4 linked regions of the Caenorhabditis elegans genome follow. The protein of the gene in region 4 interacts with the protein of the main gene of each other region in a pairwise test. Each region holds a gene or a part of one and is shown on either strand. Other genes may lie near its edges.

Region 1 (6,142 bases), on a different chromosome or scaffold from region 4:
TTTAAATCTTTCTGGAATACGGTTGCTTGCGAATAATACTTCGATTGATACTATTATCCCATCAGTTTTTATAGGTTTGTATTCCATTAACTTTATCCAAAATACCAAAAAGCTCAATTTACAGGCATGTCTCATCTCAAGAAGTTGGATTTGAGCTTCAACTCCTCGTGGATTTCCGATCAGATCTGGATTCTGATATTGGGAGAATTGAAGAATTTAGAGGAACTTACCATAAATGAAACGAAAACAAAAGTGGAGTTTGAGGTGCATTCATGAAGATTTTTATAAAATGTTAACCTTTTCAATTTCAGTCTGATTGGCTTTCGCATTTGTGCTCATTTTCTGCTCGTGGATCAGATCTTCATTGGGATTCTGTATTTGAAACATTATCAGTTATGGAACGAATAACTCATGTAGATGTTAGTTATTCTACAGTCGACCCAAGTCTCCCACAAGAACTACACAGCGGATGTCCCAGAGCCCTTAATATTTTGTATTAGTATCTCACAATTATCTTATCAATTATCGTCAATACTGTTTATCACATTTTGCTGTAAAATGAAATGAATAACCGTACAATTAAAAGACAAAAACTGACGACAATATCTTTACATACGAATAATTAAAGTTAAATTAAATCATGATCTTCTGGAGGAGGACACATTCTACAAATTGCTGTAATTCTATTTTGAAACACGGGAAGAATGTCATCATCATGGAAGAGCAGAGTCCATTGATATTGAGCGGAACCATCTTCGCATGTTGATTTAAAGAAAAAGCTGAACAAACTTTTTTTTTGAAAACTTGGCGATATTAAAAATATTTTACCGGCAGTTATCAGTATAGTGAAGACCGAATAAATGTCTAAAATATCTTAAAGTGACGGATTGTGCATGATTTGCTGAAATCTTTGCCACCATCGGAACATCATTCTCGTATCGTAGTTCTACAGTCATTTTTGGAGCCTCTGAACCTCTTCTCTTTCTGAAAATATATATTATTTAACCGCCATTCTTGATGTGAAAGCTTACGGTTGTAATGTGGAAAACCCGTTGTTTGTTCCCGTAAATAATCGATTTGGTCTTTCAAGTGTTCCTTGATTGGATTTTCCATAACCTGAAATTAATTCTCGAATAAAATTCTTGAAAACTGGGAACTTCCTACGTTCAAAACTCCAAAAATCACTAGCATTGCTTCCGAATCCGCTGGAATCTGATGTGGCAACTTGTTGGCGTTTCTTTCTGAAATTTACTTCAATTTATCCGAAGAAAAAGTATTTAGACCGTGTGACAATTTTTTCTCGAACTCAATTTTTTCTAATATATTTTTAATGTAAAAAACTGTGGGCAATTGAGAACTATTTCCGAGTACTGTAGCTTCGAAGTTTCGGTCGTTTTGAGACCAGGCACCGTATTTTTTATGTTGAAAACCTGAACACAGTTTGGCAATTATTGTTTAAACATGAGCATTTGCCGAAAATCGGCAGATGGGTTCTTTGTCACAAGACTCACTTGTAAAGAGATTCAAAACGTTTCGGAAGATTTGAAACTTTCAATGTATTAGTCTGTGTGCTCCTCGGTGGCGGTGCAAATCCATCAGTCCCATATGGAGTTGAAGATTTTTCTTTTCGTGGCGATTCTGCGTGTTCTTCTGTTTCTGATGAGTTTTTTGTTTCTCTAAAACGATTTCTAAATATTCGAAATATCAAAAAGCACGTACTGTAAGGAATTAAGGCGTGTACAGACAGCATTGAAAAACGAAAATCGATCATCTTCCGACTCATGGGTTACTGTACTTTGACCTATTTCGTGGCGGGATGATTTATCGATTGCGTCTTCATTGAACCTGAAAATTTGTGTGACTTGAGAATCTTCTTTCAATTATTTTATTTAGTGGGGTGTCTACAAAACGGCTCTACTATCCGGTTCGCATATCTTAATTTATTTTTACTAACCATATTGTAGCACCTTTATTTGAAGAACTTGTTGATGACGCATCTTCCCACTGAAAATAAATTCGATAAATTTTAGAGTCAACCACAAGTTACAGTAGTATTAACATCGGCTGTTGTCGTTGAAAATTCAGTGTGCATTGACCGTAAATGTTGGAAAAGTGGTTGTTTGAGAGGATCAAATAAGTCTATGTACGGGGGTTTACCATCGAGAACCTGAAAAATGTTATGGTTTCACAATGACATTTGGATAAAAATGTTCTCATCAACTTCCAATAAAAAAGTTGTATTGATGAAAAGACATTATTCATGATGATATCCAGTTTTACTTTTCTTGAAATTTTATGATATGGATATAAGATTTTTCGAATAAAATAAATATGACAATTTTACAAATTTTCAACAAAAAAGGTAAGATATGAGTAACAGGTAATTCAGATCTACCGTTAGAAAAGGTACTGTAATATGTCGACTGATATATCTACGTCCATTTTTTTGAAAATTTAAATATTTTTAAAATGCCGGATCTGAAACTTTTAGGAAAATTTTAGGAAGGTGACCCTACGGCAATGCTCGAAAATAGTCGGAACTGTAAAATCTTTTAACGAGCGATTTTTCATAAAGCAGTATTTTAATAAATATGAAATTACTAGAAAAAGTATAAAAATTGAAACAATAATCAATTACTCACATCAATTGAACCTTCATCATTATAATGGGGTGTGAAATAATTCCACCGTCTCGACATTGTAGCCATGGAGGTAACAAAATCAAAAACTAATAAATATCTATTTGAAGAAATGAAGCACTTCTTCTCTTTGTGTTGACCAACACTTTCAAGCCTAATGACGTGTCAACCTGTGTTGATCTACACTAAGAATTTGTGTTAAGTGTCCTCACTGTGTCTTTTGTGTGTATGCACATGGTACTTGACAGGTATCCGAAGAAAAGAACTGCCAAACTGTTTCTCTTCTTTTTTATCACTTGAAAGAACAGAGAACACGCCCGAGAAATGTTCGGAGAGATGAAAAAATCCTGCGGTTCTACGGAAAAACGGCTGCCTAAATTTGAGTAAATATTCCAAAGTAAAGGTAAAGTATGGCAAGTGGGGTAGTTTTCAAAAAACTACTCCCGTGGTGCTAGAATGAATGATTATCATATCAAAACCTTCTTTGATTTTTTTAGGTTATGTTTTAGTTATTAGTATTTGAACATTGTAGAGATTTGAATCAGGTTTCTTAGGACAAGAAATCAAAAAACAATTTTATTCAAAACTCCGATCGAAAACTTTTGCGAAGTTTTTAAAGTAATTTTTGTAATTTTTTAATAATATTGAAAGCTTGTAAATGCAAAAAAAACGGAGAAAAAAATGTACAGTTTAGGAAACAAAATTAGCATCAAGGCTCAAAATCAGGAGAAAACGAAAAGTTGACCACATTTTTGTTCAAAAATTTCGATTTTGCTGGATTTGTTGATTTTGACCTAGAATATTCGCAGGGAAACAATTTATTGATTTTTCATAACTTCTGGACTCCAAAAATGTTGCCCACATCTGATTCGGACGTGCAGGAATGTTCAGAAGTTATCAAAAGTACAATTTTTGAAAATTTGACTGAAATTTTCGAAATATCAAAAATGGAGTTATTAAATTAAATATTTGGGCATGCTTGACTATCATATAAGTATTTTTTACAAATATTCCAACCGACGATATTTCAACTGACTAGACAAACATTAACAAGTATATTGATCATTACCTCATGTACCCGTGTGGAGATCTTAGTGCGTATTGAATCACCGATGACGTGGCATGTTCCAGTATTCAAACTGACGTATTTTCGATGAATATGCCTAGCCAATTTTAAAAGAGATAGAGATGGAGAACCAGTTTTCAGTTTGGATTCAAAATCCAAAATTGACGTGTACAGGGTTATCGAATCGGCGTTCCGCGATTCTTCCTAGAACATGATTTAATTATTTGGCAGGAAATTTAATTATATTTACATAGATTCATAAATTAAAAAAATTAATTTTCAGAACGTAATTACTGTATACAATACGATTTTTCCAAACGATACAACGATTACTCTACCTTTTGACACCATTTGGCAAATGCGGTATCATGAAGAACTCGATCAATGGAGAATTTCGATCGCATCGTCATTATTTCTTCGTTTCATACTGAAAGTTTTGTATTTTACCCATGTAAGATCATTTATCAACAAGAAAAACTTGGGTTAAAAATGATTAAATATTTGAAGTATGGGTGGAGATTGAGCAAATGCGCGAAAAAAACGTCGAAATGTTAGACGGAAAGAGATGAGATATTGTGTCAAACCGATCGAGAGCCCTACCGTCTTGGCAAATAAATTGACGATAGAGGGAGAGAATGAGTGTGGAGACAGGAAATGGAGAAATTTGTGTTCAAGTCTCGTAAAATAAGGGTTTAAAATGTTATAGCACGATTTAGAGTATATAGCTGAAAAGTCTATATAAAAAAAATTCTGCCAAAATGCAAGCTTTCTAGTAGAGTTCAATATTTGGAAGGATTTTCTAACTTTTTCAATTCGGGAATTGATGGTTATCACCTTGTTTATTCTAAAGTAGTCTTAAAACTGAAGTTATAAAAGCCGTGGGTTTCTTGTTTTGATTTGAAATTTCTTCACTTTATTAATTATTGAAAACTCGCTTTTTATCTCGAATGCGTCTATCGCGAGAAGTTGGCATATCAGTAAAAGTGGGGGCTACTTCCTTCGGAATTCTTACTGGAAAGAATGTCTTTCGTGACGTTAAACTGTCCGAAACACTTATTGTCACTATTTTCAATTTTTCTAAAACTAAGAGCACCGATTTCTGAAAGAAAACATGTAGTAAAATTCGATAAATATTGATGTATCAATTTTTAAATTGTTAAAATATAAAACCATGGAATGCATAGCGAATGTGGGCATATAGCAGTTTTGAAATTTCCATAATCAAGGAGTGTGTCGTTTCGCGCGAGAAGTTGACCTTCGATGGATTGACTCACTTACTTTTACATTCAGCCGACACAAATGAACTGACAGATGTGGGAACAGATGGGGATGGATGTACTCTTCAACAGTACACACATGATATAACTGAAATTGACGAATTTGATATTATGACAGTATATTACTCAATTCTTTGCATATAAAAATGTCTACTCTGACTAGAAAACCTTTTTTGGTGTCCAGAGAGTTTGGGATCGAATGATATACTTTCTGAAAACAATAGAAGTTTCGAATTGAAAGTAAAGTGTCTTTTGTGCATTTGGGGTGAACTCCGTAGTTTAGTATAATTTTGGAATTTCTATTATTGGGAAAAGTGTCGAAGGCGGGCAAGAGCACTGATGACCTTATAGGCCACCATTGAACTCTTCCGGAATGTTATCAACAACTGATATCGAACTACACTCATTTCCTGGATTCCATTATAATTATCTTTTCCCTTAAAATCTCTGCTCTCGAGAATGTTTTCGTGCACATGGTAGTCGACGGATTAGATAAGAGACATTGAAAGGGAGAGACTAATTATAGACAGGTGTATTGAGAGACTCTATGGTGGAAGAACGGACCTTCCTAAAGGTTTAGAGCAACAAATCGATCGGTTTTGAGCACCATTGCATGACACTCATAGATGTAGTCATTTGAATCTTTCTACATTCGATAGTTATCCAATTTTTTGAACAGTTCTGATTTTTCAACAAAAAAATGATTATGGCCGATGAATCTGTGGATCAAATGAGAATCGAGGAATTTCTAGTGATAGTTAATCGTAAGTTATTTTATTTTTCTTTACAAGATTCCCAATAAATATCCGTATTATAGATTACACTACTCATGTAAAGTCTACAACCGATCTAAGCAAATGCGGGAATTGCACATGGGTTCTTCCGAAATTGGATGCACTTCAGAAGAAAATGATCGATTATCTTCAATACAGAAAAGATGATGAGGATACAATTGAATGGAATACACTTATTATCGAACTATTAGATATGCCAGATGAGCACAACGCAGAGGATATTCATAGCAAACCGTCACCAGCGAAAAAGAGAAAATCAGAAGAAGTCAAACCAAAAATTGAGGCAAAAATCGAAAAGAAAGTTGCGCGTGAAGAGACGAAACTTATGGAATCTTCAGATAAAATTGATAAAGCAATTGAAAGTCT
Region 2 (4,650 bases), on a different chromosome or scaffold from region 4:
GAGGCTTCTCCAACAAAAAAGAAGAAAAAACTGTTTTCGAGGAAATGCAACGAGTTTTTGGATTCAGAAGATAATAGATTCAGTTTTTCGGTGAAAATTTTGTAGAATTTCTCACGAATTTTTGGCTTCCCTCATAAAATGAAATGGAAGAGTTTTTGCCGAACTAGGTCATTTTGGCTCAGTAGATTTACGGCGCGTTGCGTGTCGCGTCGCGGCTCGATTTTAGTTGTAAAACTAAATGCACTTGTCCGTGTGGAGTACACGACTATCCCAGTCCGGCGGGCGATTGTCAATGGAGCGCGAAAAATTCAATGAGGAAGGCCAGAACCCCATGGCGGAAAGCCAAGAATTTTTGGATTTGGAAGACAATAAATTCAGTTTTTTAGTGGAAATTTTGTATTATTTCTGCTTTTTGGGGAAGAAAATTGTAGGAAGAATAAAAAATTAATACGGTTTTTTTTCTACAAAAATGGAGAAAAGCCCTAAAAATTCTTGAAATTGGGTAAAAATTTGAATTTTTTTTTTTTGGAATTTCTGCTTTTTTGGGGAAGAAATTGTTGGAAAAATGATTTTTAATAGGATTTTAAAGCAATTTTTTGCAAATTTCGACGATTTTTGATTCAAATTGAAGAATAAGCTCAAAAATACACAATTTTCCATATTTTTCAATAAAGCTTTCGATTTTAGGGTGTTTTTTCGCTTTTTTTAAATAATTTTTGGTGTAAATTCTTAAATTCCAAAAATATAGAGGCTCTCGAACCCTTTAAAAATTCAAAATACATAATTTTTCCCATTTCTTAGGCAATTTCTGGGCAAAATATTGAAATTGCAACTTTTAAAAGTATTTCTAATGCCTAGACTACATAATTTTTCTAATAAAATAGGGGGAATTGTCATAAAAAGGATTTTAAAGCGATTTTTCGTCGATTTTTGGGGGAAATCTTGAAATTTCAACTTTATAAGGTATTTATAACATATTCGAGGCCTAATATTCACCTTTGTTTTCAGATTTTTCAGTGAAAACTTCCAATTAAAGCCGATTTTTTGCCAATTTCGGTAATTTTTCGTTCAGAAGTATTTAACTTGTTAACTCTAAAATACAATTTTAAGTCGATTTTTGTCGATTTTCGCCAATTTTTATGTGTTTTAATTCAAATTTTTTCAATTTTCCAAGTAAAAAATCACCATAAATAGAGGCATAAACATGGGTAAAGCAGCTGCCGAGTATCCAGGACTGAAGTGTGACATTAAACCGGGAAACGATGGTGACATTGGTTCGACTTTTGGAAATGCACTTTTTAACACTGAAAATTTGATAATTATTCGGTTAGAATGGTTAAAAAAGAGCCAAATTTTTGATTTTCAACCGATTTTTTGGCAAATTTCACAATTTTTAGTCAAAATTCTTTAAAATCCAATTTTATAGGGTTAAAGATTTCATTTTTCCAGATTTTTTCATGAAAACTCCGATTTTAAAGAGATTTTTCGGTAATTTTCACAATTTTTAGTTAAAATTCTTCAAAACTCAATTTTATAGGGTTAATTATCTCATTTTTCCTTCAAAATTTCGATTTTTGAAAGCGATTTTTCGCAAATTTTCACAATTTTCAGTTAAAAATATTTTAAAATTCAACTTTTATAGTGATATCCGAGTTCAAAACCTCTCATTTTTTAGATTTTTCAATTGAAAATTCGATTTTAAAGCGATTTTTCGTAAAATTTTAAAAGGAATTTCTAGCACCTCTAAAGGCCTGAAATACATAATTTTTTAGATTTTTCCATTCACAGATCTCAAAAAAGGTCAATTTTTGGCGCCAAGTTCAAATTTCTCAGATCAATTTTGAATATTATCCAATTCTTAATCCTTTCGCACCCCTATACAGTCTATTGAGCACACACAGACGGACCAACTTGTTCAAGTACTCACGACGGATTAGCACACAAGATAACGGACCGAGATAGTATGGGATTCGGAGAGACGCAGATGGTGTTCGAACACCGTTGCGTAACATCCTTTTACGTCATTATGTCATTGCGTAAGGCCCGGGACCATCAGGTCAATTCTTAGGGGTGTTTTGAAATTAGCATGGATTTTTTTAATAGAAAATAGTGAAAACCGGAAAAAAAATTGGTTAAAAATGAGTAAATTTCATTTATAAAGTGTTAGAAATACTTTAAAATATAAAAAATGGCGAAAAATCGCTTTAAAATTGGTTGAAATTCAAAATAACACTGAAAATACTCAAATTTGTCAAAAAAAAATATTTTAGCGATTTTTAATTAATTTAAATTCCCGCGCTTTTGTCTCGATTTTGAACTCCGCCCATAAAACCGTGCCGCACTTTTGCACTTTTTAATTTCAACGTAAAGTCCAATTTTTGGGTTGTTTTTCTAGCTTTTAATGAATTTTTCGGCGATTTTTAAAACCTTTTTCTCCATTTAAAAACTGAAAAAAAACCCCCAAAATATGGATTTACGCTGAATTTGAAAAAAAAACAAAGTGCGGCACGGTTCTATGGGCGGAGTTTAGACAAAAAATGCGGGAATTTAAATAAGGTTTTTTTTTCAAATTTAATGATTTTTTTCTCTTTTTTTGGGATCAGTCTTAGCATTTAAAGTTTTTATTTAAATTATTTAAATTTAAATTTATATGTATTTTTTTAATATTTAATGTCCCTTTTTCCTGCAGAAATTTAGAAATTTAGAAGAATTTTCAAATATTTTTTTTGTGTAATAAAGTCGAAAGGCAATTGAGGTGGTCCATAAAATTTTGTGTGATAGCTGGCCACCTTCCCCTTTCGATCAAATTTATTGGAAAACTCACCATCAATCGATGGATTTCGACCGGCACCGTCTAATTCTGCTTCCATTACAGCTTCTTTTTTATCATCGGCTAACTGTTGTTCTGACGTTTCACCACTAATCATTGGATCATCGTCAGCATCCTCATCCCGACGGAACACCTTCACCTCATCGCCGAGCTCTTCGTCGGCCATCATTTTTGTGTATTTTTATATCTGGAAATTTAGAGCATTTTTTAACGATTTTAATGGGAAATTGACGGAAAAATGGAGGGAAAAGAAGCACGGAACCATTTAAAACAAGAAAAAAGGGGGACTAGGTCCGCGGAAGTTAGGCCATGGAGAGGGGAAAGACGCGGGAAATTTGAATTCGATAGGATTTTGGGGAGAAAGTGGAGGTTTAGACTTCTAAAATTGGAAAATGTTGAATTTTTATTGAATTAGAGATAAATTTTGACGACAAAATCGAAATTTTAGATGAAAAACTCAAGAAAAATCAGCAAAAACGGTGAAATTTGTTTTAATTTTAATTTAAAAAATACTTTTGTCCACCGTAACTTTTAAAGGCGCATGCCGCTTATTTTGGTGTGGGTCTCGACACGAATTTCGAACAAAATTACTTTTCTTTGCTTAAAAATGTCGAATTTGAGCTGTTTCGTTGAAAAAATAATTTGAAACGAGGAAATTTCGATGTGAAATATCTAGAAATTGATCGAAAACTTCGAAATTTGTTCAAAATTAAATTTTCAAGTATTTTTGTCTACCGTAACCTTTAAAGGCGCGTGCCATGTATTTCAATGTGGGTACCACCGCGAATAACAATATTTTTCGGCTTATTAATTTGTAATTTGAGTTTTTAAAAATAAAATCATAAATTTTAAACAAGGGAATTCCGAACAAAAAGGAGAAAATCATCAAAAATCTTTAAATTTGTTTAAAATTCGCATTTTTCGACATTTTTGTAAATATACCGTAGTCTTTAAAGGCGCATGCCATGTTTTTTGGCATGGGTGACACCACGATCAGACTTTAAATACCTTAAAATTACCTATTTTTGACGTAGAAAATTACTTTTTTGCTTATAAATCCGAAACGCGGGAATTTTAAATTAAAGAGCAGGAATCGATACGGTGAACAAAACACATCTGTCATTGGCAACAGATGGCCTAGCCGAAAACTAGGCCGCTACTCGCTCTACAAAATTCAAAAAGAATGACGGGAAAAAAAAGCGAAAAATGTTCGAATGAAGAAGTTCCTCCAATTATAAAATGCAAATAAACGTAGAACCCAGCAGGAGGTAGGAGGGAGGATAGTGGAACGAGGAAAACGAGGCGAAAAGGATCCATAAAATTCAAATAAATGACGGACCGGGGGACGTGAGAAGAAGGGGGGAAGAAGACAAGAGGCGGTTGGTGGTGGTGTATGCGCGCGCTGTCGGTAGTGCACCATGGCCCCCCGCTACACCAATTTCTCTGCGTCTCTCGCTTTCATCGCTCATCAAGGGGCCGCCCATGCTAAATGGTGTGTGAGAAGGCCCTGTGTGTGTGCGCAGGTGGCCGACAATAATAGCTGTAGAAGAGGTTAAAAGAGAGCATGGAACTTGAAGAGAGTGGAGGTTGAGTGAGAAAAAATAAAAATCAGATTGTCCTGAAAAAAACCATTTAAAAATTGATAAGAAGTGATTTTTGTGGGCATCGGTAATCGGTAACCCGGGGCGTCAATATATATTTTTTATCGAAGTGTTCATTTTCTTCGTTGTAACTCACCGGGAAAACCGTGAGAATTGGCGGAGAGATAGAGACACAGCGTGTTTTCATCTTTTTTTCTTTTTTCTAATTCTCCTTTCACT
Region 3 (7,978 bases), on a different chromosome or scaffold from region 4:
GTTTTTCCAAAAAAAAATATTTTTGAGCAAAAATTTTTTTTTTCAAAATTTTCCAAAAACTTCCAAATCAACCTAAAATCAATATTTTCCCAGTTTAAACCCAAAAAAAAACTCACTGATGTGCTCCATTTGGCAGAGCAAAGTGCCTCTTGAACTCCGCCAACGTCATTGGTCCATCGTTAGGGACATGTGTTACCACAGGGATTTTATCGGTTCCTGGAAAAAAATTTGAGTTAAAATGTTAGAAAATATAAAATTTAGGGTAAAATCTACCCTAGAAACATAGAAAATCTGAAAAAAAAGTTCAAAAAAATTTTCAAAAAAAAATTTGTAAAATTTTTTTTTTCACTTTTTTTTGTATAAAAAAATGAAACCTTACCTAAATAGCTAATAGTTATCAAATTCGACAAATTTTTCCCAATTTTCGAGTGCTTCTTAGGCGTTGGAGCCTTTCTGTGCTGCCTCCGATCCTTATAATCCAGTGACGAAGTGGCGGAGAACGCCGACGGTGCCATAGACCCAATTCCCGAAGAATCATAGAATTGACTCGATTTGCTGCTCCCCGGAGCAAAATTCACCCTGGTAGTGGGCGCCGGCGCGAAGGAGTCCCTACTGTAGGAGGAGCTGGCTGAGGAGTACGATGGAGCGCACATTGATTGGCTCATCATTCGATTTGTGTCGATTTGATGGTGACGATGAGATTTTAGAGAAGCCGAGGTGTCCCGGGGGTAATCTTTTCGTCTCGGGACCCGAATTGTGTTGTGGAGCTGAGCGGGAGCACGATTGGTTGGGGAGAGGGTGGCTGGAAAATATTATAAATTGGAAATTTGAATTCAGCTCATGAAGAGCTTCAAAATACGTATAAACATGCTTAGGTTCCGTCTAGTTTGAAAAAAGTTGGGTCCCGCCACGAAAATTTGGGGCTACAGTAATAACTTTCGTGGTGAGACCCAAAAATTTCCAAATTTCACCAAACCTAGGCATGATTATACTTATTTTGAAGCTCTGAACGAGCTGAGTTTGAAAATTGACTGGAAATATAAAAATACTGGATTTTTTTTTGAAATTTCAGAAATTTGGGTCTTACCACGAAAGATATTTAAAATTTAAAACTTTTACAGTTTTAGTAATTTTTTTTTTCAGCTCGTCAAGAGCTTTAAAACGAGTATAAACATGCCTAGGTTTCGTCAAATTAGAAGATTTTTGGGTCTCGGCACGAAAATTTGGGGCTACAGTAATACATTTCGTGACGAGACCCAACAATTTTCAAATTTCACCGAACCTAGCCATGATTATACCTATTTTGAAGCTCTAGGTGAGCTGAGCTTGCATTTTGTAGTTTTAAAGCAAAAATGTCATTTTGTAGTTGTTGGTTCTCACCACGAAAAGCTACAACACCCATTTTCGTGGCGGAACCCAAAATCAAGAAAACCTAGGCATGTTGGTACTTATTTTGAAGCTCTCAATGAGGCAGACGTGATTTTAATAATTTCAATAATTAAATTTATTAATTTTGGAGAAAAAAGTTTTTGCTCAAAAAAAATTTCAAAAATTTTTTTATTTTTAATTTTCATAGATTCGAACTAAAAAAAAACGTTCCCTGACAAATATTTTTGTCATTAAGATGTTTACTAACAGCTATTCCAATTCTAACACCTATTAGTAATATTAATCCCTTCATGAGAATAACCCGACATATGGTACCGGAGCATGGGAACTCACTATTTTTCGATCCTTCTCCAGATTTGTTGGGCTCTCCTGCTGGGCCTTTAGGTGATCGATTTGTTGATCCTTTTTGGGAATCATCTGTCATTTTCATTTTCAGATAATCATCCAACTCCTCGTCCTCATCGATTTTCCCCAGATCGTCGTTGGGCTCCGTGCCGTTTACCATGTCGATTGTCTGAAAAATTAATTTGAAAATTGAAGTCAGCTTGATAAGAGCTTTAAAATAAGTATAAACATGCCCTATTTCAGTTGAATTCAAAAAATAATGGGTCTCGCCACGAAAATCCAGGGTTACTGTAGTCGTGGTGGGACCCAAAAAATCCAAATTTTGCAGTGGTGACTAGATAACTAAAAAAACATGCTCAGCTTGTAAAGAGCTTCAAAATAAGTATAATCATGCTCAAGTTTAGTTGAATTTGAAAAATAGTGGGTCTCGCCACGAAAATCTAGGGTTACTGTACGCTTAAACCAGGAATATTTAAATAAAACGGATCCTAGACATGTTTATACTTATTTTGAAGCTATGAGCAAAGTTAGCTCCAATTTATAAGTTTCCAAGCAAAATTGCAAAATTGAAGAAAGTTGGGTCCTGCCGCGAAGTACGATTTCGTGGTGGGACCCTAAAATTCTTTGAATTTCACTTTAAAAATTACAAATTCAAACTCAGCTTGTTGAGAGCTTCAAAATAAGTATAATCATGCCTAGGTTCCGTCAAGTTTTAAAAAATGTGGGTCCCACCACGAAAGGTATTACTGTAACCCCACATTTTCGTGGTGGGACCCAAAATTTTTCAAACTTGGCGAAACCTAGTCATGATTATACATATTTTGAAGCTCTCGGCGTGCTGATTTCAAATTTTACAAATTCAAAGCCTAAAACTCGAAACTGAAAAACCTACCGTATACCGACACTCTTCGATATCGTCAATCCTCTTCTCCATCTCATCATTTAGCTTAACCTTATCAATATGCCTAAGCAGTTTTCTGGTGATTTCCATTGCAAAATTTCTTCTTCCTGATTCAGAAGAATGATCCCATTGCTGACCATCGACGCTGGCTTTTTCGACACGTGGCAGTGTCATGGTACCGTGATTCTCGCGGGCTTGTTCGTCTCGGATATGGCGGAGTCTGGAAATTAGACACTTTTAGATAAAAATTTGATATAAGCTCACTGAGAGCTTCAAAATAAGTATAATCATGCCATGGCCTGAAAATTTTCAAAATTTTAGGGTCTTACCGCGAAAACTTTTGGTTTTTTTGTAGTAATAGCTCTCAACACTAAAATTTAAGGTTTTCAAAAAAATACAATTTTCAAAAAAATAAGCTTAATTTGGGTCTCGTCGCGATTTTTTTCAGAAATAATTTATTGAACCCTAAAAATTTGAAATTAAAGTTCAGCTTGTAACGAGCTTTCTAACAAGTATAATAATGCCTAGGTTCAGTTAAGTTTGAAAAAATTTGGGTCTCGCCACGAAAACCTACCAACAGTAACTCGGGGTTTTCGTGGCGGGACCCAATTTTAACGGAACCTGGGCATGTTTATGCTTGTTTTGAAACTCTTGGTAAGTTGAGCTCAGCTATCACAATTTAAAAGTAAAAAATCTGAAAACTGCCAAGTAGGGTCTCACGACGAAAAGGTTAGTGTAGATTTTCGTGCCGGGACCCAATTTTATCGGAACCTAGGCATAATTATACTTATTTAAAAGCTCTCAACAAGCTTAATTCAAATACATTAACCAAAATCACCTACCTATTACTATGCATCCTATGGGCTTCGGGCGTGTCCCCAGAAAACGTCGAGCTGACAGCCGAGTCGTTGTGTGAGGTAGTGGCGTTGCATACGTATGGTTGACGTGTCGGTGGGTACATTTTCTCAAGTTTTCTAAAAAAAATTCAAATTTAAATAGGTAGGGTAGGTAGGCGACTTACGTTTCTCCAAGTTTGCTGTGCCTGTCGTGTTTCGATTTTAGGAGGGCCTCAGCTGTGAGCTGGGTGGCGATTTGTGCGGCACTTTTACGGGAGGTAGTGCCTGACGACCTTCTCATGGTGTTTTGGTGTGATGAATGGTGGGCGGAGCCTCCCGGGAGCTGGTCGGCGGTGGTAGATGACATCTGGAATTGGGGTTTTTAGTTTTTGGGATTGGAAATTTTTTTCAGAATTGCGATAAGATACGTAAAATGCTAAAATTCAAATTCAGCTTAAAAATAGCTTTCGAATAAGTATAATCATGTCTGGGTTCTATTAGAATTGGGTCTCGCCACGAAAACCTACAGTAACCCTTTCGTGGTGGGACCCAACTTCTCGGTTTTCAAATTTTTCACACTGTGACTATAAAAATTCAATTTAGCTTAGAAAGAGCTTTCAAATAAGTATAATCATGCCTAGGTTTGGTTGAATTTGACAAAAGTTGGGTCCCGCCACGAAAATTTGGGGCTACAGTAATACATTTCGTGGCGAGACCCAACTTTTCTCAAACTTAACGGAACCTAAGCATGATTATACTTATTTTGAAGCTTTCAGTCAATTGAGTTTAATTTTGTAAATAAAAATTGCAAAGAATCAAAATTCAAAAAGTTAGGCACCGGAAAAATTTCGTCGTAGGACCCAATTGTTGGAAAACCCTAAAATTTTCGCCAAAATTCTGAAAATCTGAACTGAGACCGCCGATATTACATTAAGAATGCATAGGTTTCGCAAATTCTGTAAATTTTCCAAACAACCTCGGTCTCGCCAAGAAAATCCTGGGTTACTGTAGGTTTTCGTGGTGAGACCCAACTTCTATCAAATTTGACGGAACTTAGGCATGATTATACTTATTTTAAAGCTCTCAGTGAGCTAAATTCAAATTTTCACAATTAAAAAAAAAAACAATTTACCTTATTAAAAGCCTCAATAAACTCTTCGGAGCCCACAAACTCCTCGTGTTGGCGTCTTAAAAATTCTTGAACAAAATTCGAACAATGACTGAATACCCGATCCTCTAATTCGGTGCCATGACGTAGTTTTTCACCAATCCAAAAATTAATTTTTGATTTTAAAAAATTTTAAGAAAAGCTTACCGGAGCCCTAAAATGCTTGGGAATTGCTTCGCAGTTTCCGGTCCGAGAGGACAAAAATTTCGAGTATATTGACTTGGAAAGTTGGGATTTCTAAAAAAAATAGATAAATATTGCCCGATTTGCCAAAAAAGTTGCAAAAAAATCAATACCTCCGGTTTTCCCTCCAACGCCATTCGTTCGTATGCTCGGATTGCGAAGAACAAGTCGAGGTACTGAAAATTTCTTATTTTTTTAGAGAATTCGGAAATTTAAAGTCAATATTTGAATTTAGCTTGCTGAGAGCTTTGAAATAAGTATAATCATGCATGAGTTCCGTCAAGTTTGAAAAAATTGGGTCTCGCCACGAAAATGTGGGGCCACAGTAGTAGATTTCGTGGTGAGACCCAACTTTTTTTTGACGGAACCTAGACTATTATACTTATTTCAAAGCTCTCAGGATGCTGTGTATGAATTTCAATAAATTTAATTTTTATGGGGTCCCACAACGACAAACAACTACAGAACCCCATGGGTTGCGTGGTGGGACCCAACGTTTTGCGAAACGTGGTCATGATTATGCTTTTCCAAAAGCGCATGAAAAGATTGATTAAATTATGAGAAATTTATCTCGAAAATTAAAAAAAGTTGAAATTTTCGCAAAAAATTTTCGAAAAAACGTGAAATCGCAGACTTTCCTTGTAACTGGTCAAAATTCTCACAAAATTATGATTTCGCCTGCAAAACTATAAAATTCGAAGTCAGCTCGCTGTCAGCTTTTAGATAAGTATAATGATGTCCAGGTTCCGCAAAGGTTGAAAAATTAGGGTCTCGCCACGAAAATTTGGGACTACAGTAATAACCTTCGCGGTGAGACCCAGATTCTTTCAAGTTTGAAGTAACCTAGGCATAATTATACTCATCTTGAAGCTCTTGACAAGCTACATCCGAAAACAAGTAAAAATTTCAAATATTGGAACTTTGGGTCCCGCAGCAAAAGAAAATCTAAAAATTTTGCGCCAAAACCTAAAAATTTTCAAAATCATCGTAAAAATGTCATGATTATACTTATTTTGAAGCTCTCGGCAAGCTAAATCCAAATTTCGCAGAAAAATCCCAAAAAAAAAGTTACCTGAGGCGAGGAGTACTCAATAAGCCATTCCTGAAACGCGTCGAGTGCCGATCGATCGGATAGAACGGCCTCCAGGCTTCGCGCCCAACCGAGATGGGTCTCCATGCACCTGAAAAGGAGGTGAATTTTATGATTATGTTGAAATAAGAGAATATTCAAAAAAAAAAGTAGAGAAAAACTTGAAAAATCGAGGGAAATTTTTTTTTGAAAAAATTTTAAAAAAATAATTTTTTTGCCAAAATTTTTTTTTTCAATTTTTTGTTCAAAACTTTTCTAATGACGCTTTTACTGAAAATTAAACAAATTTTATTTAAACTTAGCAGTTTGACCCCCTCAAAACCTATAAAATAGGCCAAAACTATACACAAAAAAAAAAAAAAAAAACTGTGATAAGATATAGGATATACAATATATTATAAGCGTCACTATTCCCTCTCTAATTGCAAAAATGGAACAACTATGGGTGTCTTATTGTTCCTATCAGTGGCTGATAATCAAGGAATGAGGCCCCTCGCTTACTCAATGAATGGGCGAGAGCGAGAGAGTGGCGGGGGTGAGAGACGCAGAGATAGTGACGGAGAGTAATGGGGTGTATTGGGAAGAGTAGTAGTACACACACACAGATAAGACACATGTCTCCAGAAAGATGACAACGATTGATGAGTGAACATTGTTTCGGGTGCCCCCGGAAGAGTTTACTGGGGACGCTCGACCGGCTACCGGGAGGGGCCCCTAACTTTAGGGGCGTTGATCTTGCTGGTAAGTTGGTCTAGCAGAAAAATTTAAATTGAATATATGTAGAAAATTGTACGTAGATTATTTTGTTAGTTGACAACTTTTTGCTAGCTCTGCTCTCTGCGGAGTTATGGAGCTTTTAGGTTGGAACTGGGGGCCAAGGGAGGCTTAGAGGTCAAGTTCAAATAGCTGTAACTCTGCGGAGACTGATGCCATCAAAAAGTTGTTAACTAGCATATTGTAGGACGTTTTATAGCAATTATTTTGTCAGTTCAAATGTTTTGCTAGCACCATTGTGTGCAGAGTTATAGGGGTTTAAGTTAAAACTGGGGGCCAAGGGAGGCGTAGAGGTCAAGTTCAAAATCCTGTAATTCTGCAGAAAATGACGGTATCAAAAAGTTTCCAATAAATAAAATGTAGGAAAGTTTATGATAATTATTTTGATAGTTAACAATTTTTTGCTAGCTTTTTTATTTGTAGAGTTATAGAGGTTTGAAGTTAAAAGGAGCCTAGCGCCTCTTGAGTTCAAACCGTTATAACTCTGTGGAGCCTGAAGCAATCGAAAAGTTGGCTATTAATAAAATGTAGGAAATTTTACGGTAATTATTTTGTTAGTAGACAATTTTTTGCTATCTCATAGTTTAAGCTTAAAAAATGTTTAAAAAATGTGACGCTGTAAAAACTTGATTTTTTTGAAATTATCGCCATTAAAAAAAAAGTCTAAAATTTGGCCAGTAAACCTCAAACAACACAATTTTTTTAAGATTTCAGCAAAATTTCTTAGTTTAAAATTTCTTAGCCCAACAAGGATTTTAAGAAAACCCAGAAAAATGTTGTAAAACTAGTTTTTTTTTTCTTGGAATATTTTGAGTTTTCAAACATTTCAAAAAATAAGATTTTACCGTAATTTTTTTTAGATTTCAAGCCGAAATTTGGCCATGAAATGGTTTGACCTAAACCGAGTCTAAAAATTTTCAAATTTTTACGCCTAAAAAAGACCTAAAATAGTTTGGCCTAAACTGAGCCTAAAATAAATTTAAAAACTGGATTTTTCATATAATTTTCCAGTTTTCAAAGCAAATATTATAGTCCCAAAGATGGTCTAAAAAGGAAAATGGGTAAAACAGAAGGATTTAGGAAAAAGATGGGGGTAGGAAAATCAAGGGGGGTAAAGAGAAAAGGAGAAGGAAAAGAGAATTGGGGGGTGAAGTGCCTCCTCTCTCTTCTTCTCGGGCGGTCGGTGTGAGAATGGAGGCGCCCCCTTCTTCAAAACCAGCGACTCTTTGATGTTCGCCGACACGTGCCTGCGTCTTGTCGATTTATTCATATTTCTCTCCAGCCCGCCGTCC
Region 4 (7,029 bases):
CAAAGAATTGCAATTGCCCGTGCAATTATCAGAAAACCAACTGTTCTACTGTTAGATGAGGCAACATCGGCATTGGATAGCGCCAGCGAGAGAGAAGTTCAAAACGCTTTTGAACGAGTCAAGAGGAGTACGAAGACTCAATGCACGTGTATTCAAAGTAAGAATTAGTATATTGAAACTGAAAAGTAATATTTAATGCGGTTTAAACTCTCAGCCAGTACGTCACGAGAATTGGCAAATCTCTAACGGGAAAAATGTTTTTTTTCCAGTCGCTCATCGTTTATCAACAATTCGAAACGTCGACAAAATATACGTTATTGTTCATGGAGAAATTGCCGAGGAAGGTAGCCATGAGCAGCTTATCAACTTGAAGGGTATCTACTACGAAATGAATCAAATGACGTAAATGAATTTGTTTTGGCATGCAAAAACTACACTCTGAATCTGGAATTCATAATTTGTAAATAATAGTTGTTATTTTTATAAAAATTTTCTTATCTGACACACTTTCTGAAATTGAAATTCAATAAAAATTCACTTTATTCAACATATTTTGCATGCCAATTCATGAACCCGTATACAAATAATTAGAATCTCATTTTCAAGGAATGTGCAACAAATATCCGACTGGGGTGGTGGAAAGTGTGGGGGTCTATGTTATAATTAAAAAATTAAAATCGACTATTCCTAGAAGGATAATAATCAGACGAATGACTACTCGGACCAGGGTTTGATGGAAGGTCGTTGTAAACTGGTGGACTACGGTCATAGCTGTTATATTGAGGAGGCGTTGGTCGCGGATAACAAGATGCTGTGGCATGGGGATCCAAGTACGTCTCGGGAGGTCCAATTGAGTATTCTGGATACATTGCTGGTGGGGAATGGTACATTGGTGAGTTGTATGGTTCTGAAGAAATATTTGTTTTTGGTTCTAGGTTCATAGTTTCTTTAATAGTATATTGTCTCAATCCAATTCGAAGGTGGAGTAGCGTCAGTGAAAAGTTTAGTAAAATAATCTTAAGAAAAAAACAAAACAATCATACAGCCGAAATAAAATATTACGAAATATATGTATTCTTTCAAAAAGTTTTGGCACCCCCACTTATAGAGCAAATACGTTAATTAAAAACCTTCATTTCACATTTAAACAATTTTTACTTCCAAAAAATGGGTAACTATGTAAAATGAATAATTGTCAAATTTTGATTGTTATTTTAAAAAAGTTGAAAAATTACATCTATAACAATTTTCCTAAGTTTTTTTTTCGCTCTCACAATGGTAAGCAAAACTATGTATGTAGATAGAATCTTTGGAATCCTGCGTTTATCAAAGTTGGCAATATATAAAAACTTCGGGAAGTTTTCGGCAACGAACAATCGTGTTGCCGAAGCTTTGAAAATTATCGAACATATATCTTTGTTGAGCTTATATTTTAAACTGCTTTTCTAAAGACATCTTCAAAATTTTGACATCCGGCAAATGTCAAAATGGCCGAAAGTTATTTGTTAAATTTGATTAGCTTCCTAGAGCAAATTAAATTGTCATCTTATATCTTACTTGATGAATCTCGTCCGGAGCTGTTGCAATACGAATCCATCATAGTATCATCTGTTAAAGGTGTAGACCATTGCTCTCCAGCTCCCTCACACACTTCACCGCTACTATTTAGTGCTTCGCTTCGTGGGGTGGTCATGCTCATGTGACCAAATTGGCTCTGTAATACTGACTTTTTCTTAGAGTTATCCCCCATTTTGTGTTACCTCTAAATATGAATTGTATCTTGGAAGAGTATTCCTTGTCTTTTCTCGCTTCTCATACATCATCTTGAGAATATTATTTGCTAGACTTGCTGTAAATTTTCAGTTCTACTTGTCTATTGGTGTGCAACGTTACCTAATTCAGGGTGAGTTTGAGATTGCATTTGAACATTTTGAAGCATTTTAACAAGAACGTCATCTCTGTCAAGTACGTTTGCCATTTGCTCATGATGCATCAAATTATAAATCAAGGCCAGAGCCGATGATTTCGTGTTCTCTTCAACGTTGGCTTTTTGTAATACAAAAATTGGAAGAGTATGACCATCGCCCATTCGGCTATTTTCAGGAGTTTGCAGGAAGAAAACAACCTATAAATTGAAATTTGGGTTTTCAACCTGAAAACATTAATACCTCGTTGAGAATGTCCTGGTCTCTTGTAATCCATCGCAGGATTTGAATACAAAGATGAATGATATCTTTCACGCGGACACCTTCGATAGATTCTTGCTTGAAATCCAACAATTATTAGTCGGTTTGTTGACTTTTTACTTACCACATTCAGCTGGGTACATGCCACTCTCAAAATATGAATGAGTTGCTCAACAAAACCTTTATCTCCAATTCGGCATGATCGGAATGGAGCAAGAAGGGCATGTTGGGATACAACTTTCAGCAGGAGCTAAATTAAATCTCAATTTCTTATTAGCCCTTCAAATTAATGACTTACACTCAATGTGTGTTTCAGCAATACTGGTCTCATTGTTAACAATTTGTGTAGAAATAATGCAGGATCTCGGAAAACAAATGCTTGGACCTTATCTGACATTGGATGTCCAACACAGAGATGCCGTAGCGTGCAAATTAGGCTTTCCTGAAAACCGTATTGTTAAGCTTTGAAATTTAAATGTTATTACAATATAATCCTCCATTTGCTGTGCTTCTTTATCTCTCAAGTCACCCATCTCTTTGGTGGCAATTGTTAAAGCTCTCACAAGAATGACAACCCCATTGTTGCCACACATAAACTCCTGGAATTAAAATTAATACTATATCTTGATTTCTGACAAAAGCACCTTGTTATGCCTGTTGTTTGCAACTAGATTTGACATTATCTGAGCAGAATATAGACGGATTGTTGTATTTCGAGAATTGACCAGCTCCAGAAGAGATTTCAAAAGTAAATCTTCTTTTATTTTGCTTGGTACGTCACTTATATTTCGCAAAGTTTCAAGGGTTGATTGTACAAGTCGCGGACTACCATGTGAAAGAAGATTGGCGAGAATTTGGCGACCACCAAAAGCAACAAGATTTGGAGCGTCCTGGAAAAGTTCAGACATTACATCCTTCAGTTTCAAATATTTCTTACAAAGTTCGAAAATGTTTTCAAAAGTTGCGTAGTTCGCCAAAGCAAATTTTCATAAACTCTGTGTTGTAGTAGCATGAGCAGTTTTTGAGGTCCTCCCATTTTCACAAACTTGATTTTCTGTTCGGTGTTCTTTTCACACAAAACTCTGATCAAGTCAACTATCACTGGAAGAAGTTTTTCTGATTTCTCCGCTTCTAACCACGGAGTCACATGCTGCAATTTTTTGTAAATTTTTTTTTTTCAATTTTTTTTCTTCTTTAATCTTACAGTAATCGCATCTTGTTGACGCGCAATGATCACACTTTGTCCGCCTCTCTGCTTATCGGACAGAATCGAATGCATAGTAAGAATGGCATATTTGTATATTGAACTTGGATAAGTACTGTAACAGCTATTTGAATGATTTTTTTCTGAAATTTAACTTTCTTACCCAATATGCCTAATAAGATTTGGAATTATATCAGGTTGTTCTGCGATCGCTCGAGTGACAAGATCAATTCCTTCCTGTCGGTTGCAAATGTGGAAGAATGTTCCCAAAGTGCAACGAATGATGTTCTGAAAATATATGATGTATTAAACTGTGCAAGTGCACAAGCTATACCGGGAATTCAACTTTGTCACGGAGAAGATCACGCAGTGTAAATATAACACGGGGGTCCACAATTCGAGCTTCATTTTGCCGTCGCATTGGGTCACACTCCATCTTCGCAATATTTTGCATCAGAATTACAGCTTTGTGCACAACCTCCTGTAAGATTTTTGTTTGAATAATGTTTTTTTCAGCAGAACAATCAATTTTTTTAAATTTTTTCCAGATACTTCAATTTTGATAATCGATTTTAAATGTTACAAACAATCAAAAGTTCAAACACCGGCTTCATCAGTAAGCAGCATTAGAACCAATTTATCTTTGTGTTAATATCAGTACTGAAATCAAAAGTTCATAGTTTAATTTCAGATTTTGTGATTTGAAAATTTAAGTGAATAAATTCGACTAAATATTTTTCTTACTGTAGATTTGATAATTTATTTTGAGTAATTGAAAGTTAAAAATCAATTAACATCATATTATACCTAAATGAAATAATAGTAGTCCAGTAATAGTAGTAATAGTAATAGTAATAGTAATAATAGTAATAGTAGACATACGTTTCTAATTTTTTAAAGTTTTTTTTTCAAAAATTTCAGTCACAGTTCTGATAAGTTGCTAAGTTTTCCAAAAATTTGTAACATTTCGAGCATTGTTGCATGTTGGAATACAAGATGTTTGAATATAATTAAAATATAAAAAATAGGTCAAAACCGAGGATTTTTTTAATTCATATATTGTGAAATTATGAGTATGAATATTTCAAAAAAGTTTTGAACAAAAAAATCTTACATTATCCTGATCTTTCATAAGCATAGTGAGTTCTGGAATTGCTCGAACTGTGTTATACTGCCCATCCGCTTGATTTTGCGTGATCCCATCAAACTTTTGTTTTTGCTGGAAGAAAAATAACAATTTTGTCCACCAGCGCATTTTGATATGAAATGGTCTTACTTGATCTGAAAGAGTGGGGATCGGCTCATAGTCGGCCATGGATGACATTCCGGAAAGATGCGATGACGGATGTAGAGATGATATAATAGATGGAGCCTGAAATTGAAACACATTAATCTTTGTTGTGTGTGTGTGTCTATCTCTCCTCTGTTTTCTCGTACCTCACTGTGATTCATTGTTTGGAAACCGCTATCAAAGTTGTGATTCCGCCACATATCCACCTTGCGGTGGCCGGTGCAGGGCGTTGAGCCCATGTGTATATCCGAATAGCTCGAGGTGTGTTGCTCCCTGTAAAAAATATTTTAAAACAGTTTTAAAATTTTTTTTTTGATAACTCCCAACATCAAAATAAATTGTTTCTTTTCCTCAAATTTGCAGGCTCGTTCAATCAAAAAAACTTACATTGTAAAAGATGCCTCTGATAAATTTGTGTCGTCATGGTTAATAACTAGGTTCGGATCCAGGTCCATCCCAGTTTTCTGAAAAAAAAAGCCAAATATTTTTTTATGAATCAATTCGAACAAGAAAAACGATTTGTCTGCCGGATGAAGAGAAAAAATAGGAAAAAGCAGTGAAAAAACTGAATGAACAAAATGTTTGAAAACATTACAAATCTTCCTGCTGGGCACAAGAAAGAGTGTGTGGTGATGGGGCGGTGAAATAGTGAGATAGAGAGTCTAAGGCTTGTGTAATGAAGAAAAAGCAATAATAGAAATGAGCGGTTTGTACCTAACCTAGAGTAAAGGGCTATTGATATCAGATGGCTTCTATTTCACCCCCAATCATTCCCATCCCCTTGCCCGTCCCGCTCGCATTATTCAACCCATTTTCTTTCGTGCTTTCAATCACCTATCAGTGAGTGAGCAGCCAAAGGTGTGAAATTGGCTAATAAAATTTAGAGGTATGTTTCAATAATAATGATTATCTGTGGTGAAACGAGAAGGCACACAGTCATCAGTTGTGGGTTTGAAATGAACAAACGGGAAAGACGGGGGAAACAACTTTGATAAGGATGTATTTGGGAGGAGAACTGGGAAGGCTGGGAGAGAAAATAGAAATGGGATAGCTTAGTCGTAAATTATCAGTTGGGATAATTAGTCGACTCTTATTTATCAAGTCCTTCATTTTTATTCTTCTTTATTTTCTTATTCATTTATATCATATCAGCATAACGACCCAGATTTGCTGTTTTTCAAAAGGTTTCTAGTGGAAAATCAAACAAGCCATCATTTGGTTTCCGTTAGACAGAATCGTTATCAGGATTATTCATTTTAGACAAAAGTTTGGTCAATAGGAAAGTGTTAATCATGGCAAATTAGAATAACCAAGAGTACAACCTTAAAAATAATTTTTAAAAATTGTGTTAACTTTCAAATTGCAGGATAAAATTGCAAACTGTGAATGATAAAAAAAAGTTAATTTTCTTTCAGGCTAAGTTTCTGGCATTCAAATTATTTAAGCAAAACTTTGATTGTTATTTATTATAATTTTATTGGAGTTCACTACTATAAATTATGTTTTTTTTATTGTTTCATGCAATGGATCAATTGCTAATTTTCATGATACACTTTTGAAAAGGTTTTTTTTTATTTCCGCTGAAGAAAAGCATCATCATTAATATGACTTTTTATCCTGTTTTCCAATACTATGAACTTTGATTTTTTGAAGGACACGTTAATGACTCATTTAGTGGGTATGAGTTGCCTATTGTTTGTACATTTAAACACTTTCACAGACAAATTGCATTTACTTGTTATGTACACAATGTCATAAAGACTACAACTTAAAAATTATATTAATGAATTAACTATCTTTCATACTATTCTGAAAAAGTTTTTGCTCAATTTATTTTTTAAGTTGTAAAAACTTATAATATATTATTATTTTACAACCGGAAAAAAGTGAAATTACGTCGAGAAAAAGCAATAAAAGAAGAATAGTTTGTTTAAGAAATGGAGAAAAGTGTTGCAACGGGTGCTCCATGTCGGGGGTTTACTGATAACAGTGTTCTCCTTATGAGCAATCTTTCATAAAGACATCATTTAACATTTCAAAATCTTACAGGAAATTGGAATATTTAAAAAATCAGTGCTTCCGTCTTGTGCTAAAAAAAAACATTTTTAACCTCAAAAGTTATTTTAACTTGCAATGTGTGTTATTTATGACTATTGCAAAAAGGATCTCATAAAAAAATAACTTTTTTTAACTGAAATTTTTCAATCCTTCACCAATTTTTCAATACAGGCGTCAATATTCCAAAGTTGGGTTTCTAAAAAGATGATAAGTAAAGATTGCGAGAAATGAAAATTTTAACACATGATAATGATACATATTATCAATTTTGAAGAAAAGAATAAGACGCA

The links.
Region 1: the proteins of bar-1 (region 4) and axl-1 interact in a two-hybrid assay, tested with the Caenorhabditis elegans proteins (one study listed by BioGRID).
Region 2: the proteins of bar-1 (region 4) and pop-1 interact in binary tests that used the Caenorhabditis elegans proteins (3 or more experiments, as listed by UniProt).
Region 3: the proteins of bar-1 (region 4) and pry-1 interact in binary tests that used the Caenorhabditis elegans proteins (3 or more experiments, as listed by UniProt).

What each region holds. Positions count from the first base shown.
Region 1 is NC_003279.8:8,511,892-8,518,033, reverse strand, and holds axl-1 (Axin-like protein 1), read right to left. Parts: upstream 4,135-6,142; 5' UTR 4,116-4,134; coding exon 4,044-4,115; intron 3,910-4,043; coding exon 3,709-3,909; intron 2,814-3,708; exon of another isoform or gene 2,709-2,813; coding exon of another isoform or gene 2,643-2,708; intron 2,168-2,642; coding exon 2,048-2,167; intron 2,005-2,047; coding exon 1,955-2,004; intron 1,846-1,954; coding exon 1,720-1,845; intron 1,677-1,719; coding exon 1,512-1,676; intron 1,242-1,511; coding exon 1,165-1,241; intron 1,117-1,164; coding exon 1,032-1,116; intron 985-1,031; coding exon 829-984; intron 780-828; coding exon 629-779; 3' UTR 521-628; downstream 1-520. Other genes in the region: tnsl-1 (Tonsoku-like protein), read left to right, coding at 1-74, 125-264, 312-500; K02B12.2 (Myb_DNA-bind_3 domain-containing protein), read left to right, coding at 5,683-5,746, 5,800-6,142. UniProt on the Caenorhabditis elegans protein: Works in parallel with pry-1 in negatively regulating bar-1 signaling in vulval precursor cells and Q neuroblasts. Shown to have a role in excretory cell development.
Region 2 is NC_003279.8:2,827,295-2,831,944, forward strand, and holds the start of pop-1 (Protein pop-1), read right to left. Parts: upstream 3,018-4,650; 5' UTR 3,000-3,017; coding exon 2,825-2,999; intron 1,305-2,824; coding exon 1,186-1,304; intron 1-1,185. UniProt on the Caenorhabditis elegans protein: Transcription factor. Part of the Wnt signaling asymmetry pathway. Binds to the consensus sequence, 5'-(C/T)TTTG(A/T)(A/T)(G/C)-3'.
Region 3 is NC_003279.8:14,173,358-14,181,335, forward strand, and holds the start of pry-1 (Axin-like protein pry-1), read right to left. Parts: upstream 6,004-7,978; 5' UTR 6,000-6,003; coding exon 5,895-5,999; intron 4,999-5,894; coding exon 4,936-4,998; intron 4,877-4,935; coding exon 4,787-4,876; intron 4,742-4,786; coding exon 4,604-4,741; intron 4,154-4,603; exon of another isoform or gene 4,081-4,153; intron 3,839-4,080; coding exon 3,657-3,838; intron 3,610-3,656; coding exon 3,478-3,609; intron 2,856-3,477; coding exon 2,627-2,855; intron 1,904-2,626; coding exon 1,723-1,903; intron 803-1,722; coding exon 380-802; intron 217-379; coding exon 117-216; intron 1-116. UniProt on the Caenorhabditis elegans protein: Works in parallel with axl-1 in negatively regulating bar-1 signaling in vulval precursor cells and Q neuroblasts. Inhibits Wnt signaling, which affects tissue specific expression of Hox genes, egl-5, lin-39 and mab-5.
Region 4 is NC_003284.9:7,165,481-7,172,509, forward strand, and holds bar-1 (Beta-catenin/armadillo-related protein 1), read right to left. Parts: upstream 5,146-7,029; 5' UTR 5,137-5,145; coding exon 5,069-5,136; intron 4,955-5,068; coding exon 4,828-4,954; intron 4,763-4,827; coding exon 4,667-4,762; intron 4,610-4,666; coding exon 4,505-4,609; intron 3,872-4,504; coding exon 3,725-3,871; intron 3,679-3,724; coding exon 3,554-3,678; intron 3,506-3,553; coding exon 3,391-3,505; intron 3,337-3,390; coding exon 3,124-3,336; intron 3,077-3,123; coding exon 2,831-3,076; intron 2,786-2,830; coding exon 2,672-2,785; intron 2,629-2,671; coding exon 2,485-2,628; intron 2,437-2,484; coding exon 2,311-2,436; intron 2,265-2,310; coding exon 2,169-2,264; intron 2,126-2,168; coding exon 1,894-2,125; intron 1,850-1,893; coding exon 1,761-1,849; intron 1,715-1,760; coding exon 1,558-1,714; intron 908-1,557; coding exon 672-907; 3' UTR 525-671; downstream 1-524. Other genes in the region: pgp-10 (P-GlycoProtein related), read left to right, coding at 1-157, 270-406.